2 linked regions of the Daphnia pulex genome follow. The protein of the gene in region 2 purifies or fractionates together with the protein of the main gene of each other region. This does not show direct contact. Links are inferred from orthologs where the notes say so. Each region holds a gene or a part of one and is shown on either strand. Other genes may lie near its edges.

Region 1 (8,085 bases), on a different chromosome or scaffold from region 2:
AGTCATTTTCTAGGCGTTGATTTAACGTTCAAAGAAATGTACCTGGTGTAACTCTTAATGCAATCCTGTAGCGATCCTTCCCCACTGCAAATATTGGAAATCAATAAAGGATTAATAAAGTCTTGTTGCCAACCACCGTCATTTAAATATTACCTGTCGTGCTCCTTCTCCACTAAGTGGTATCTGGCACGGAAAGCCACCAGATGGGCGTAGTAAGCCGGCGCCGGAATGGAGACGGAACGAGTACAGCGCACATAAGTATGACAAAGCTGGTAAGTTAAGCACTGCAATTCGTCAGCGTCAAAGTGGTTGTCATCCCACAAAACGTGATAGTGGCTAGGACGGCTAGTACCCTGTACATAAAGAAAAATACATTAAATATCAAACCACTGAATAAATATTAAGGAAATAAATTGTCTCACCTGAATGCCTTGATGCGAGCACAAGTAAAAGTCGAACTCGGTTGGGTGTGTAATGCCCGCGTCGACAGTGGTACCGGCGGGAATGTTTCCAGATTTGCCAGATTGCTCTTTCTTGTCAGCACAGAAGAGCCTGGTGTGATGGCGCTTCTGAACCACGATGAACGTGATACCTGGTTTGTAGTCAGGTTCCAATTTTATGCATGCCTCGCGGATAGCGGTCAACTCATGTTGCAAAACCTACAGAAAACGTGTCGTTTATTCGAACGTATTTCTTTTTTAGAAAGCCAAAGTTAGTTTAGTCTAGTAGAATGTTGCTTACGGTGCTAAACTGGCCTTCACTGGCGCCATCGCGATACATGATAATTCGGTTGGGTTTGAACCTTGTAGTTTTGTAGAACAAGATCAATAATTCCCTGGGAAAAAAAAGGAAAGTTCATCAGCCTCAAAAACACATGAAACTCAATATGCGGATTATCAAAATGTCAAATTTCTTACCGGACCATAGCACTGAGCTCTTGAATAACTTCTTGGCGGTGTTGTTGGACGCGAACAGTTGCAGCGTATCTCGAAGGATGAGCATCCATCGAGCCCACAACGGCTGCGATCGACGGCTTTTTGTTGTCACCAGCTGGAGGATGAGTTATATCGGCCCCAAGGAAAATGACAGGCTCATTGAACACCTAAGAAAACAACACACATGAGCATTTTCGTGTGAAAAGTAGTTGATTTACGTTTTACCTTAGGACGAATGGTAGGAACAAGGATACTGTTAACACCACCAAGTTTAACGTTGATCTTCAGACACAAATTGGACAGAGTTTGAGGCGATGTTTTGTTGACATTCTTTGCTTGTACGCACTGTGTGGCCATGCCAAGTACAGTATCGCCAACACGTTTGACTTCGGCTATTGGAATAATCAAATTAAAAACCTTCATTATTGTCGATGTCGACACAAGTAGAATGTGTAAATGATAGTACCGTAAACAGGAGTTTTGCCCGGTAGAACGACACACACCAACTGGAGACCTTGGAAGGTTGACTTGAGGTAGCGGAACATAGGCTCCACTTGATCGGGGCCAGTGGCATATTTGCAGAAACAAGGTTGGCCTAAACAATATTCAATTTAATGACAACCCATTCTCATAATCCACAATTATTTCGTTATTACCAATGATGGGCATCCCGGCGTCATTACTTATCTTCTGCAATTGCTGTGTGAAATTTCTTAGCGCATCTTCGCGAACTGTTCTTTGGGGTGCAAAGCAAGCGATTGCCCAAACGCGAATCTCCACTCCGGTGAAGAATTGCTTGCCACGCATATCCCAGACACCTTGATTAGGTAGCGCCTGTTGCTTAGTCCTTCCCCCATATTGCAGTTTTGGTGGCGGAAGCACACGACCGCGCACTTCCATCATGCTGCAAAACAAAGTCGAAGTTACATTTTTAATATGTCACTCGTAAAGAATTGCAAATCAATAACTGACCTATTGGAAATGGTCAATCCAAACTCCTGAACGTAGGGATCGTTATTGAAGTCGGCCTTTCGAATAAGATTATTGATCTCACGCTCACGGTCGGGAGCCGATCGGGCAGTGGCTTTGATCATGGTCGATGTCTGCATATCAGTCAGTTTCTTTATGCATCGTTGCCCGGCTACAATGTTGCAAACTTCCAGCGGCAAATAGGTGTGCTTGTGCTCTTGTCCAACCTGCAGGAGAAAAAAATTGATTAAGAGATGTAGGGGGATATGACCAAATTAGAACCAACCTGCAGGCAAGGCAGATGCGGGTAGCGCAATTTCATTTTGTATTTGTCCAGGAAATATTTGGCCACTGTACACTCGACAGTTTGACCGTTCTCCAACTGCAGTGGGAAAGACTGCATTTGAGCTGGACGGCGAGTAACGTTGCATACACGATATTTTCGTCGCATTGTTCCACAGTGGGTAATTTCAATTTTTAAGCCTATGGGGATTCAGAAATAGGAACGTTAATCAAGATGCACAAGAACAGGGATGAGGCGACAACCCACCAGCGAACCCACCTTTGATCTCTTTGGTAAATTTTACTCGCTGAGAATCCGTTAAAGGTTTTCTCTGCTCGTTAACATCGCGAATGTCTAACACTTCGCACATAAATTCGATCACTGGTTGCGACTTGTAAAATGCCGTCGCCGAGACGTCAATGTTTAGCATCATTTTCCATTGTGAAGGGCGGACAGATTGATGAAAACCAAACCAAACCTCACGTCCACCACCTAACGGATGATAATAACCATCAGGTGATGAAAAGAAACTCCGACCCACTGGAGTATAAGTCATTGAAGGTAAATGGCGCATAACCACGTCGAGAGCCAAAATGGCATCCATCGGAATTGTACGAATGCGACCTAAGAGGAGAAACATATTAAAATTGCGCTAAAGGTAATCGGCAGTTGTAATAAACATACCTTCCAAAGCTTCTTCGAGAGCGTAGAGGGATACTTTGGCCAACCATTTGATAGCTACATGGAAAACACGATCTTTTCCCTCTCCGGGCAGGGTAACGTCTAATTCGACTCTTTCATTGCCGATCGGCAGAGGATCTCGGGTATACAAGTTGCTTCGACCATCGAAAACGGGTTTTAATGCTCCAAATATTTTGCTGTAGGCATGCACCATCGTCTCGATAATCTCCCTGTAAGTTTGTATGACGAATGGTAAACAAAGCGAAATCCAAGACGATTTTAAAGATGAATTATTCTCTCACCGATTGACTTTTCTCGGGCACTTGTCTGGTTGAATGCTGATATCATAGTGGTGAATGTATCCTCGTGGCATAGATATTTGAAAATGATTTGCTCTTAGCATGATAGGTCTACCCTCACGACCAAGATTTGGACGACGTGGACAAACAAACATAGGAAGTTCTGGTGCCGCAGCTTGCGGCGCGGCCGAAGCCATAGGTGGGGGCTGTTGAGTTGGTGGCATCATAGGTGGAACCGGGGCCATAGGGGCCATGGGAGTCATTAATGCAGTTCCGCCTCCACTTCCACCACTCACTCCACTCAAACTTGTTCCACAATTACTACTGGTACTGCTGCTACTACTGTTACTTCCACTTCCCACTCCGATACTGGATACAATTGACTGGGCTCCAACACCTGAAGGGCCAAGTGCTCCTGCTGCAAATAGAAATAAACAAACGGGAGTTAGTACATCTGTTTCGAACAATAAAAACAAACAACAAGATACAACAGCAACAAAGAAGTCTTTAACCGGCAATATCAATGGAATTCATCTTCAGTTTGCACGAGAATAATGTTACTGCGCTGAAGAACTATGGTGCATAATGTGAAAGACTAAAGATCTTTAGCCAAACTTACAAGTGTACTAACGTTCAATGTTCGTTTCTACGCAAACAAACGTTTCTTAATCTTAATTAAGTGTAAACGTAGAGGGAATCGAATGAAAAGTATAAATGACGCCAGCACGCCCCTGTTCCTTCACTTTACTTATCATTACCCCAGACGACCGTATACGGAAGGAAAAGCAAACTCAAGGTCTTTTAAAAACTACTTCTCTGTTCTAGTGAATGTATGAAAATATCACTGAGTGGTAAGAGCTTTTAATAGAATAACAGATGAGAAACACTGTAGGGCGGGGGTCGAAACAATTTGCAGAATCGAGGGCAACTTACGCTGTCCAACAGGGTACATAATACGTCAACACGATTCCACATCGACAAGTTTGGCGCTGTTAAAAAAATCGAAGGCTTTCGAGAGAGCAAAATTGGTGTAGAATAACAAATTCCAGAATGGATGGATGGAGTAACGAATTATTTAAATGAAACACCAAATGAAACGAGGCACACAACGACGCACGGAAGTTGTGGCACACAAAACCCCACAAAGGCCGTCCGTTTCCCTTCCTTCGTTTTATCCAAGATGGCGGCGCGACCAGACGCAAGGGAAAAATCCCTCCCAACAACTTGCAACGTCGTTTTGAAAAGTCCACATTTAAATTTTTATTTCTGTCATTATCAAATAGTTTGTCGCAATTGACAACTTGATTAAAAATTAGTTTAGTTATTCTATTTTATTATTTCAGGGTTTCATCTAATTTAAATGTGAATTTCGAGGCACGGTTTTTGTTTAGTAACTTGGGCTGTAGCAAATGGAGGGAGGTCAAAATCCAGGGGAATCCACAACTTTCACAACACAATTTTTTTTTTTTTTTTGTAATTTCTATCTAATTTCTCACGCTAGTTTTCCTGAAAGTTAGTGTAGTGTCATCGAGTGCCCGATGTTGTTGTCATTGTTGTGATTCGAACAAAAAAACTTACACTCCCAATTCATCTGTCAAAACACGACAATGTTTGCAATTGCTTCGAATTCTATTGGTGCTGTCATCATCCGGACAGTGTTGTTCGCCAAATTGGTAACATCGCTGTCAACCACCACTAATCGGAGCCATTTGACAGGTAAACAAACCCGAGTTGAAATGCGAGAAAAGAAGGGGGAGAATAGTAAAAGAGATTGAAAACTTACTGCCATTGACATATTTATCCATAAGAATATGAGTAGTGTTGAGAGTACAAGCGACCCCCATTTTGCTCAACTAAGACGCACAAGTCGACTACCCTCCTACTGTGTGTGGGGAAACAGAATGTGTTGTGTCGTGTGTGCGATTCGTGTAATGCGCAGTACAATGCCGAAAAATCGCACGCACGGCGACGACGACTGGGGCGATAGGCAACAAACCGCTGGTTTTGAGATATCAGCCCTTCACAATCTCATGTGTGGAGAAACGAGAAAAAACAAACAACACGCGCACTAAATAATGAGCGACTGAAAAAGCAGTTTTTGGAGGTTTCCTGCACGTCGATTGACAGGCGGAGAACGCACTTGGGCTACGACCACGCAGTGTCGAGTCGGCCTAGAGACAATTCTTCTTCTTCTTTCACCAACTGTTGTGTGCAGAGAAGAAAGGAGGGGGAAAACCTCTTTGACCCCTCTGGTTTTTTTATTTTCTTTTATTATTATTATTATTTCGCCCCCTCTTTCTCTTTTTTGGGGTACGTCTACAGACTTAACCCGGTTCTTCCACCACCACCCTACCCGCAAGCCAATGAAAGATATATCCACCTCCCATTAGAGAAGTATTTCCCCCTCCTTTCTCTTAAGATAAAACGCAAATCCCTAGAGATGGAAAAAAGTAATAACCATGAAATTCTTGTTTAATGACGTTTGACATTGAATTTTTCGTAGTTTGTTCGTAATGAAGTCCTCAGGGTCAGCCGTGAAATATATTTAGCAAACGTCGATTTCATTTTGACGCGTCATTTGTGTGTCAAAGATGCAACACATGGTTGCTTACCAAGACGGTGCGTAGTTGGTCCTGATTCGTCCCGTCGGCGTCGGTTCGAAGCGACACCTATTTTCAAGTTTCAAAGCTCACATTGAATCGTCTTGCGGTTTTAGACTTGAACGTCAGATGGCGTTGAGTTTTCCTTCTCCAAATCAAATATCGATTTTTCCGCGTTTTTTTATTTTAAAAATGAAAATTTACTTTTATAAACTCGATTTTCATTCTTAGAAGCGCGTTTGGTGTCTTAGAAGTCTGCGTAACTTTATTATGTTGCTAGGTTATTCTAATAGAATTGGTTTCGCTAAAGACATGTCATGAAAGTCTTTGTTGTTGGCCAACTTAGTAATGAGATAAGGTAGTAGTAGTAGGTTATGGACTCGCTGAATCCCGACAAATAGTTTATCAGACCTGTAATGCCGCAAAACTTTCCCCCGCGGGAAAATGTTATTAAGCGACTCGGTTGAGGAGGAATAGGACGCGAAAATTGAATCAATGGAAATATAGTGGCTTCAGGCCAAGATATTTTTCGTTCATACAAGAGTTCGTTTCGTATAGCTTGTTATCGTGCGTACAAAACCGGGTTCCCTTTTCTCCTTTTTTTCAAAGGTTTTCATCTGGATTACTTTTTTGGCATAGATTTGCCATAGGAACAACGTCATGGGGCTTGCAAGAACTTTTATAGATAGGGCGGTGGGCATACCAAAAGCGGCCACATGACATGGTGAATAACATCGGCAAGATGACAGCCAAGTTTCCAGCGATCATACATGTGTGAACGCAGTCGAGAGAGAAGATTTGGGGCGATGGGGGGGCCTATAAGACGTGTGGGCGAGATGCACAACCGGAAGTAGCTGGATCAATACGCCCACCCCGACTTAAATAACAAATTGCCATATTGTTTTCGCTGCTGTTTTAATTCTCTCATTCATCATTATATACACAGATGGTGCAATGCGTTGCTACAGTTGCACTTCTACCGAAGAGGGTAGCCAATGCCAGACGAACCCCTCCACCTTACCTCATGGAATATTAGATGGCTGCACGCGGGAAGCTTGCACGATCGTGAGAGTAGAACAATGGCCATCTCAGCGTGTCAAGTATGTATGAATCGATATGTCTCCATCTGAGACAACATGTTTTGCGAAGATTTACAGAGAAAAAAGAAATAATCCGGAAAACTGTTTAGGAGTTTCTATCGTGGATGTGACGGGCGGACCAAAGTATTTGAGCAGAACAAATGCCAAATCGAAAAGGATGAAAGGACGTGCTTTACGGCTTGCGTGGGCGATTTATGCAACCACGGAAACGGCTTGGTCGACCACATTGTTCATTCAGGATCGATCCTTACCGGATCCAAAGCTGACGGCTGGGTCTTAACGGTGACAACCGCTGTTCTCCTCGTTTTCTCCGCTATATTATTATCCGGTAACGCCTAGTTTCGGCCCGCAGCCTCACGCCATTCACGAACTAATCAATACACACATACTATGTACATACTCTGTTGATATATTGCGCTATTGCATCACATTCTCGTGTGGTAGAATCGGTGATGATGAAGACTTGGCTGCTAGCCCGATTAGGTGTGGCACTCTTGTCCCGGGCTCTGTAATCAGAAATGAATTAAACAACTTCAGTAAAAAGATTTCCAATATCCGTTTTTTCCCTCTTTGTAGAAAATCTGGGACATCACCAATGAAGATCCTGGACGAGAGCACAAAGAAGTCTAAATGGAAACACTCAATCACGTTGTGCTATGCCCAAAACAATAAAACTGAGAGTAAAGAGATTCGCCATCCATCTTTATTTGATAGATAACTGCACTTCTCATTGGTGAAAAAAAAAGAAAAACAGCCAACTCGATCTCTGTTCATTCTAAAAGGCGAATAGAATTTTAAGGATCGATACGAGCCGATCTTACTCGACGATAAATGGAACAGCTTGTTCCCGCAGTGCTGTTGAACTTTTGGCGATCCCAGTTTCTCAGACTGGAGATGACGCTGCGAAAACTTTCATTTATATACAACACAAAGGCAACAAAGGGAGTGCTGTACCCAGATGGCGATCATAAATGAAGGAATAGGAGAAAGAGTTTACTGCTTGCCAAAATAACAAACAATGCAAGGCACTTCAGACAGATTGCAAGTTGGTTCCGCGAAAGTTAAATATGAGCTTTATAATTGAATCGCAGATTGTTCCGCGGCGAAAGCAAGACGACAAGAAACGCCATGTTTATTTTTGATTCGGCAAAACGCTTGTGTAGTTTACAGGATATATTCGTGTTTATTGTTTATGAGTATACCTACTCTATTTGATAT
Region 2 (8,033 bases):
CTGTAAAGGTGGTAACGCAGGATCTGAAGACTTGCATTTCCAATCAAATCGTAAAGCGGGCCAGCAAAAACCTAACAAGGTAAAGGATGCAAAGATAAATACGGATTACATAAAACGAATTTGATGACTAACCAGGTTCCAGCTGACTCCTCCCCAAAGAAATCTCGGTTGCTACTTTACAACGGAGTTGTTCTGCTAAAAGAAGTCCATTCAGTCTGTAAAGAATGCAAGGAAGACTAACGAAAAGACAAAATTAACGAATAGAACCAATTCATTTTTTTTAAATGTCTTTTAATGTTTAAATTACCACACTGCTTGTCTCCATAGTGAGGCCGAAAAAGGATGAATGCTACACAATTCCGGAACAAGTATTTGTTTTTGTTGCAGACTTTCTCGCTGTGTTTTCTTTGTATGTTCCGAACTGGTTGGTAACATTACTCCTTTGCGGTTGACGTACCTATAAATTTAGAAGGATCATAAAAAAATATATATAATAATCATATTTTTTTTTTCAACTTTCACTAAACACATTTTCTTTTGCCCACCTTGGTGTTAAAAAATTGAGTCTGGCTGAGGTATGATCGACGTCTAACAGTGGCTGCTTCAGATTCTGAATTTGGATTCCATACTTGTGGCGATAGTATTTTTCAAATGTTGGATAGTTGTTATCAGGGAACTTAGATTGAGGGTTAAGTTCGTAGAATATCTCGGCCACATAGAAACATTGTGGGTGTTCTTGATCACGATACCATTTCATTACGACAGCATCAGAGAACAATCGAGGGTCAAAGACATATCCAGATCTGACTTCTTCGGCTATCAATTGGGGCTTCGAATCTCGAACGGACGAAATTAAATCGATGAATACAAAATCCAAGCTTAATTTAGAGTGTTCCGAGAATGAACTTCGTCTTAAAGGAACGATTAGATAAGAACAGTCGGCGTTGTATACATCTAACAACATAGGATCCTTTTCCAAGGAAAGTACGTTTCGAAAAATGTAGCGTTGAAAATCAGAAATTTGTTTCAACTGCCCTTCGGTCACTCGGATGGCATCAGAAATTTTTACAATTTCCACTTCCACCTCGCCTGAGCGAGTGAAAATAGGGAACGGACAGATTTGAGAAAGAGGTTTGCTGTTTAAAATTCCCAGACTTTGAATAGAAGTCTCGGGTTTGTAAATTTTTCTTCCACGCGTGTTTTGCTCCTCAGGTATAGGCTCACTCAATACCTAACAAAAAATATCAACTATTATTACAGTAATTTTTGACATACTAATACGAATACCATTGTGATCGCGTACAAATAGCAAGGCTGATCAGGACGTGGAATACCGTTAATAAACGGATCAGCTACTTGTTTATAATAGTACTGTCTTCGCTTGGTAGTGCCTGGGCGTGGTAAGTTTTCTGGTACATTTTCTTCTTCCAAATCGGCATTGTAATCCTCTTCCTCTTCAAGCCGAAGGTTTTCCTTCCCCGTTGGATAGAAATGATCGTCCAACTCTTTCTTTTGGTGCAATAACCGACATGCTTCTAGTGCCGCAGATCGTTTGGCCGTTACTTTTGATGGCATAGGTTGACTTAATACAGTCTTTCGCAGAGGAGAATTAATTGGTAACTGCAACGAGCATATGTATGCTACGTCCAAGAAAACGTTTTCTGTTGCACCACTATTTTTAAATAGTCCAATCCATTTATCCAAAACAGATGGTTCAATTAATTCTCGTTTTATGGTACGTATCCTCCACACAGGGGTTAAGCGTGTGAAACAATCGCTAGGCAACTTTGCGCAATATCTACAACAGAAATTTTTCATGAAACCTAGTTTTACAGAATTAAAAAAGTATGTGATACCTGTTAATTATAGAAATCGCGTTTTGCAAAGATGCATACGAATTAGAAGTTTCATCAGAAGGGTAGGGAGCCTGAATGCAATTAAGCATATCTTCGTTGTGGTTGAAAAACTCAGCAACCGAATTGTGATACCCGCTTTTACTTAACAGAATTTGTTCTGTTGCATGAAAGTGAGATAAATCCACTAAAAACTCATCCATGCGCTCATTTTCGACCATGAGGATGTAATGTGCTTTTTTAGCGCGAGCTCGAGCTTTTGAGTGAACGTAAGCCCGGTAGGATTGTGGTAAATCGTAACGAATAACCAGATGACATGCCGGAACGTCAATTCCATCCTCTAATACGCTAGTGGCTACAAGAATGTTACAATCACGACTACGAAATCGTTTCATGACGTCTTCTTGCTTTCTTTCTTCATTCTCCATTTCTTTGACACTCACGCCTTCCATTCGGTCAACCGTATACAACGGGCTTAGATAAGCTAGTTGTGGATCACAACGACTTGCATCCTATAAAAAAATGTAAATGAATATTCGGCATTAAATATTACATAGCAATACGAGAATTTTGTCGTTGTGGAACCTTTAAAAGATGGTAGAGTAATTTTGCTGTAGTACGTCTTTCAGTGAAAATCATCCCACAGAGCTGGTAAGCATCTTCTCGATTTCGGTGATGGCGATTTGAGAAATCAGGACGCCGCCGTCGACTAGTGTGTCCTGGTTGAGTTGTCGATTGACGCAAAATCGCTGGACCGTTTTCAATTAATTCTGCGGTTTGCGACGTTTCGGTTGCCAACTTTGGGGTCTGAACAGTTTGCCCTTCGGACGAAACTAAAGAATCGCTTACTTCTACTAATTCAGCACTTGTGGGCAGCACGGAAGGTATCGGCGGTCGGTAGATCCGAAGAATGTCCAACAGGCGAAGAACCTTGGGATGGCTAAACTTCACGATACGTTCATATTCAGAGTATTTCTGAAACTCTTCTTCGCACAATGATCTAGAAAGTAAATATATATATATCATGTATACAAAGTACGTTGAAATGTGTACTTTAAAAGCGCAAACCTTATTTCAAGTAAAACAGTGAAGACAAGGCATAATAGAAGATAGTGTCTTTCATAAACTGCTTTCGTTTTCAATTTTTCTAAATGAATGAGGTATACCAAAGCAGCACGGTCTGCTCCCCAAGGACCTAGGTCAATTATATTGTATTAATTTTTAAAATCGTCTAACGTAAACTTCTAAAAATAAATAAAAAAACTTATAAAAATATTTGTGATTATTCACCAAAATTTTGAATGATTTGGATGTATTCTTCAAGTAGATCAAGAGGTTCATGACATGGATTAGGAATCTCTTTTAGATAATCTTGTTCCCCATAGTACTCAGCGGGATCATATCGATGATCTCGCAGATAATCATTCAATAAAAGAATACGACCCATTATTTCTTGCTGCAGCTCTGTGGCTTCATACTTGGACGATATTTCACATATCAATTCTTTGGGTCGAGTTGAATGCCTAGATTAAATAAAACATTAGAAGAGTTAATTTTCCACAAAAGTAGTCAGCAAGCAGATAGCATATTGGACTTCATCATGCCCACACTAAATGAATTAATCACCATATACTTACTGCAAGGCTGACAAAACGTTGTTGGAAGTCGAAATAACCGATTTTAATTTTGTTTCCAGAATAGTTATCAACTGAGACAGTTCCATCGGCTTGCATATGTTATTTACAATAGATGCAGTTAATCCAAGGATTCTTGGATGTACACTACTTGCTGCATTTTCATAGAGAGTTAAAACTCCTTTTAAAGCTTCATTGTTCATAACATTATGGCAGTCATCCAATATCAACAAATTAAGCTTGTTCATTTTGAGAAAGTTTTTGTGGATGACTTCTAGAAATATGGAATATGTCATGACAAGCACCTGACTTTTCCCCAACTCCTCTGTCCATCTTGAATAATACATATTAAGTGTTTTACAGTTAATTTTATCCATAAAATACTTCTATAAAAATTTACCTTTCAGAACTCCACTGCAATACACCTTTTTTCTCATGAAAAATTCCTACTTTCAATGGAGTGTGATGGCGCAAGTAAGCTGAACGCTGAAGTGCCAATTTGATTGTTGGGGTAAGGTAAACTGAGCAAAAACCTCCCTTGGGTAAGAGCAGAGAACTAATTAAAACAGTAAGTAAATTAATGAGTTAAAATTTTACATCACTTCATAACTTACTTGCACACTTCAAAAGCTTTTTCTCGAATTAACATTACAGCAATGAACATCTTACCCAAGTCAGCTTTTAAACATGCAATAGTATTTTTAACTTTTGCAGATTCAAAAAGTTCAACCTAAAAAAATGTATAAACAATATTTCTTAACTAAACATGGCAATCAAATATAAATTTGTTAAAGAATAAGTCTAACAATAGTATGGAAATCCTATACAAACCTCAAAATCTCTTGGAGTAAAATTATCATTTGATGATAAATCCATCATTTGAGGTAACATTTTAGCGAATAAAACGAATGGACATAAGAGGAAACTCGAGAAAATTTCTGAAGCTTAGTAACAACTTAAGAACATCAGAACTCAGATGTAAAAAGTTTTTTGTTTACAGGTTTACAGCATGAGGATGACTTAAACAACGATGCCATATTAAAATATCACATGGCCGTGAAACTCCCTTTTGCAGGGTTAACCGGGGGGTTGATTTAACCCTGAAGGGGAATTTTGCTTCATCTAGCGAGGAAAAGACACACATATTTAAATCATTACTTTGTCTGATTGTTTATTAAAGAATGTATAGTTGTATACGATGTTAGATATCATCGGTAACTCTACAGCATACAAGCATATAAACCTAAATCATACGTAGATTTTTTCATATATAATCATTTAATTGTTTTTTAGTATTCTAGATATGTCGAACAATACGGAATTGTTGGTGTTCGCGCTTGCAAGATGATGGGGCCTAACGGCCTTCGTTATGTTATCGTCAGCATCACGCATCACCATGGGTTTTCATTCCCCACATCTACTTTAAATTTTTATTAATTATAGTGTTCTTGTTATTATACATCCATTTCAGTTTTCTCTCGTTCTGCGAATTTTAACGTTTTATAACAGAAATGTGAATTCGACGACTGCCGACTGCGGAGCACCTGGTCGCTGTAATTGAGGTTGGTGTGGTCAGTCTGAGGAGGACGTGTGAACGTTGTAGTTGTATGCCTACCGATCGGATTCAGCTGAAGCCGAGATCGGTCGCTAAGATAATGCAAATAAAAATGAACAAGGCAACTTGGATACAATTTTATGTGTCATTGATCGTGAGATGAAAATGAACTGTAGGACTGTAGATCTCTATCATTGGTTTCCTGTTTTTAATTTAATTTTTAATTCATTTTAACGAGTGCTTTTTTTTTCTCTTGTCTTTCCAAGAATAGTTTAGTCAAAATACCGATGACAATCATATCAATCATTTCTGAATATTTTGGGTTAAAGTCACAATCGGGTTGGATTAAGAAAAATCCGGTTTCAACATTTTTGGATAACAACGATACAAGGGCAATCACCCAACTGTCTATTGGTGCAGCAACAAAATCCCAAAGGCGGACACCCATTGGCCTTTTTTTAAATAATAATACACTAGTCGCTAGATAAGAATAGCTAAGGCTAGGAAAATAAACCAATTAATGTGTAAAATAACTTATGATAACTCTAGTAATCTCGACCGCAGAAAGATCATTCACCATAACTAGACTGTTCATTGTTTTCCATTTTTCAACAGCGTTTTCACGTGTTACGCACCCCTATAAGTTTTCTGGTTCAAGCAGCGGTTTTCAAATTTTTAATATACCTTCACATTGCCTTCCACACACTACGGTTGCTTAAACCGAAAAATGTAACATAGTAGGAATGTTGTTAAAGCCATCTCTGGTTAAAGCATATTACGCAGTTTAAAGGTCACATTTTACAACAACCCATTATATTTAAGACCTTGCTAAAATTCTATAATTTCTGCTGCAACTTTTAGTTGTGTGTTTCACTGATAGTTCAATGTACTGCTTGCAGTCTCACGTGTATTTTCGGTATTTTTAAGATGCGTTTTACTAATGAGGCGATGCTTCTAAACAGTTTAAGTAGAGTGCGAATCCGTTCCTGCGAGACGCAGCCCTCAAGGCTGACGAGAGCCACATTCAACGTGTTTTCAGCACTCATATACAGCAAGGCTGAAAAAAGCTATAGAAAGGTATTTTGTCTGTGTATGCGCTGCTATCGAGCTCTTCCTTCCACTTGTTTTTCCATCGCCAGTGGGAGAAATGAGCAACTGGTATGGTGTTACCCCCCTTGAGCCAGGTGGAAAAGCTCAGTCAGTTGGTAGCGTTGGTCGACAACAGACTCGCTGTGTAGTCGTCCTTTTATTTATTATTAAATTGTTTCAGTTGGCGTTCCTTTTTCCCCCCAATCCGTGTTCTTATTCTATTTACCACACTCGAAACAATCTGTTAAGTGTCTGTTACTTCGTGTAGTGTTGCTTGTTGCTTTCCGGCTGGATAATTTGGTCTTCCAGCACTAGACGAACGACGAGTCATTGGCGCCATCGCAACCTGTCTTGCATCAATTGGCATTCTGCAGTGGGGAAGTAGTAAAAGTACAGGATAGGGCATCAGCTATCATTACAGCTGGATGACCGAAGAAGTGATCCGGTTTAAGAAAACAGAAGGCGGAAGTGAAGAGGCAATACACATGCTATACCTGCCTTGCCTATACACGCCTCACAGACAAGCCAACCAAAACAATTAAACTAGCCAGAGAAAAATCTTTCCGAGGTGAACGTCCCATCGCGCTGAGATCTAACGGTTGTCGACGATTTTTTTTCCTCCAGCCGTCCTCGGTGGGAAATCTTTCACCATATCGGATTCTCGTCAAATCCTCTAGACTTGTGCAACTTGTTCTGCGAGAAGATTGAAAAAAGAAACGGAGTCAATTTGTTGGCCTCTCACTCAACGCATTCGCCGAATCGAGAAAGAACAACAAATCACAAAAGAGATTTACCTATTGGCTCATTACCTAATAGTGTCAACTCTAAGAAGGGAATGCGGCCAACTTAGGTGAGTTTGTTTGTAGTACTACGTAGTATTTTCCCCCATTTTGATTTTTACTGGATGGGTCAAGCCATTTGCTGCCAAGCATTTTCAAAAGTGACAGCCCAGATTTATATGAGTAAGTCGTTTTGTCATAAGGCAGCGAAATACGATAGACCACCGGAGAGATTCACAAACATGGTACAACAACAACAACAGGTGGTGATAAGGTTATTCACCCATCTGTTTTTGTTAGTGTAATACCCGGTTTCTCGTAATCAAACTGGGATTTCATTTCATTTGTATACGCGCCATTCAAAGGCGTTCATTCAACTTTGTGACTATATTTTTATTCTGCATAGTGTACAAAAGAGTCTGCACCAAGATGATTACGTTCTTCTGGCTGTGGCTCCTTCTGGCTGCTTCACCTCTCCTTGCAAAATCTATTACGACTACGGTAACCCAGTACCAAGAAGGAGAAGGTAATGTGTGTAACTTCATGACGTTGCTGGCTTTCTAATTTCTACATCCTGAAAACCGCTTAAACACGCCATTGGCTCTAAAAACCGCCTTTTCGATGTTTGACCTGCAAAAGTGTCACTACTAGAAAAATAATCATCTGCCGATTGCGGGGTCAATCAACCGCCTCCATTCAAAGACCTAACAATTTTTAAAACAATTAATGTACTACGTATCATAGCATAGCTGAGAAATAGGAATATTTAAGCTCTGATACTAGCGGATCTGAACCGACATAGCGGAATGCCAGAAACAAACGACAAGATTGCGTGATGCGTCGGGAAACGTCAACCAAGTGGGGCGACATTCAACGCAAGTTAGTGAGCTATTGAAAAGAATCATGCCTCAATTTCTTCCTCCGTACGTCATTGGAATGGGAGGTCACGTCTATCCGCCGATGACCTCAATGTCAAAAGGAAGCCGTCAGAAAAGGTAGGGAGGGAAGAGGCCAAGAAACGGGTCACTGCAAACGGTGGAAAAACTACTCTTCGCCAGATATATAAATGTAGGAAGTTCAAAAACGTAGCGGAAACGAAAAGAATACAGATTTGGGAGTTCCT

The links. The genes of interacting proteins can lie anywhere in the genome.
Region 1: the proteins of endoribonuclease Dcr-1-like (region 2) and protein argonaute-2-like purify together in Drosophila melanogaster (affinity purification with western blotting; 5 studies listed by BioGRID, with this or other methods). This does not show direct contact. The link is inferred for Daphnia pulex from reciprocal best matches to the Drosophila melanogaster genes Dcr-1 and AGO1.

The regions. Positions count from the first base shown.
Region 1 is NC_060022.1:5,186,968-5,195,052, forward strand, and holds the start of protein argonaute-2-like, read right to left. Parts: upstream 5,317-8,085; 5' UTR 5,012-5,316; coding exon 4,951-5,011; intron 4,884-4,950; coding exon of another isoform or gene 4,775-4,883; exon of another isoform or gene 4,752-4,774; intron 4,357-4,751; exon of another isoform or gene 4,120-4,356; coding exon of another isoform or gene 4,101-4,119; intron 3,586-4,100; coding exon 3,171-3,585; intron 3,099-3,170; coding exon 2,872-3,098; intron 2,812-2,871; coding exon 2,455-2,811; intron 2,388-2,454; coding exon 2,191-2,387; intron 2,132-2,190; coding exon 1,908-2,131; intron 1,840-1,907; coding exon 1,592-1,839; intron 1,531-1,591; coding exon 1,402-1,530; intron 1,328-1,401; coding exon 1,161-1,327; intron 1,103-1,160; coding exon 918-1,102; intron 836-917; coding exon 742-835; intron 660-741; coding exon 423-659; intron 354-422; coding exon 154-353; intron 85-153; coding exon 43-84; intron 1-42. Other genes in the region: uncharacterized protein LOC124196069, read left to right, coding at 4,775-4,883, 6,714-6,867, 6,957-7,195, 7,444-7,466.
Region 2 is NC_060018.1:8,403,241-8,411,273, forward strand, and holds the start of endoribonuclease Dcr-1-like, read right to left. Parts: upstream 4,514-8,033; 5' UTR 4,379-4,513; coding exon 4,319-4,378; intron 4,218-4,318; coding exon 4,102-4,217; intron 4,044-4,101; coding exon 3,888-4,043; intron 3,821-3,887; coding exon 3,491-3,820; intron 3,377-3,490; coding exon 3,144-3,376; intron 3,049-3,143; coding exon 2,922-3,048; intron 2,854-2,921; coding exon 2,439-2,853; intron 2,366-2,438; coding exon 1,857-2,365; intron 1,799-1,856; coding exon 1,288-1,798; intron 1,232-1,287; coding exon 546-1,231; intron 458-545; coding exon 308-457; intron 237-307; coding exon 133-236; intron 72-132; coding exon 1-71. Other genes in the region: serine protease filzig-like, read left to right, coding at 7,340-7,436. UniProt on the Drosophila melanogaster protein: Endoribonuclease which functions in microRNA- (miRNA) gene silencing and, independently of its ribonuclease III activity, also acts in the short interfering RNA- (siRNA) gene silencing pathway.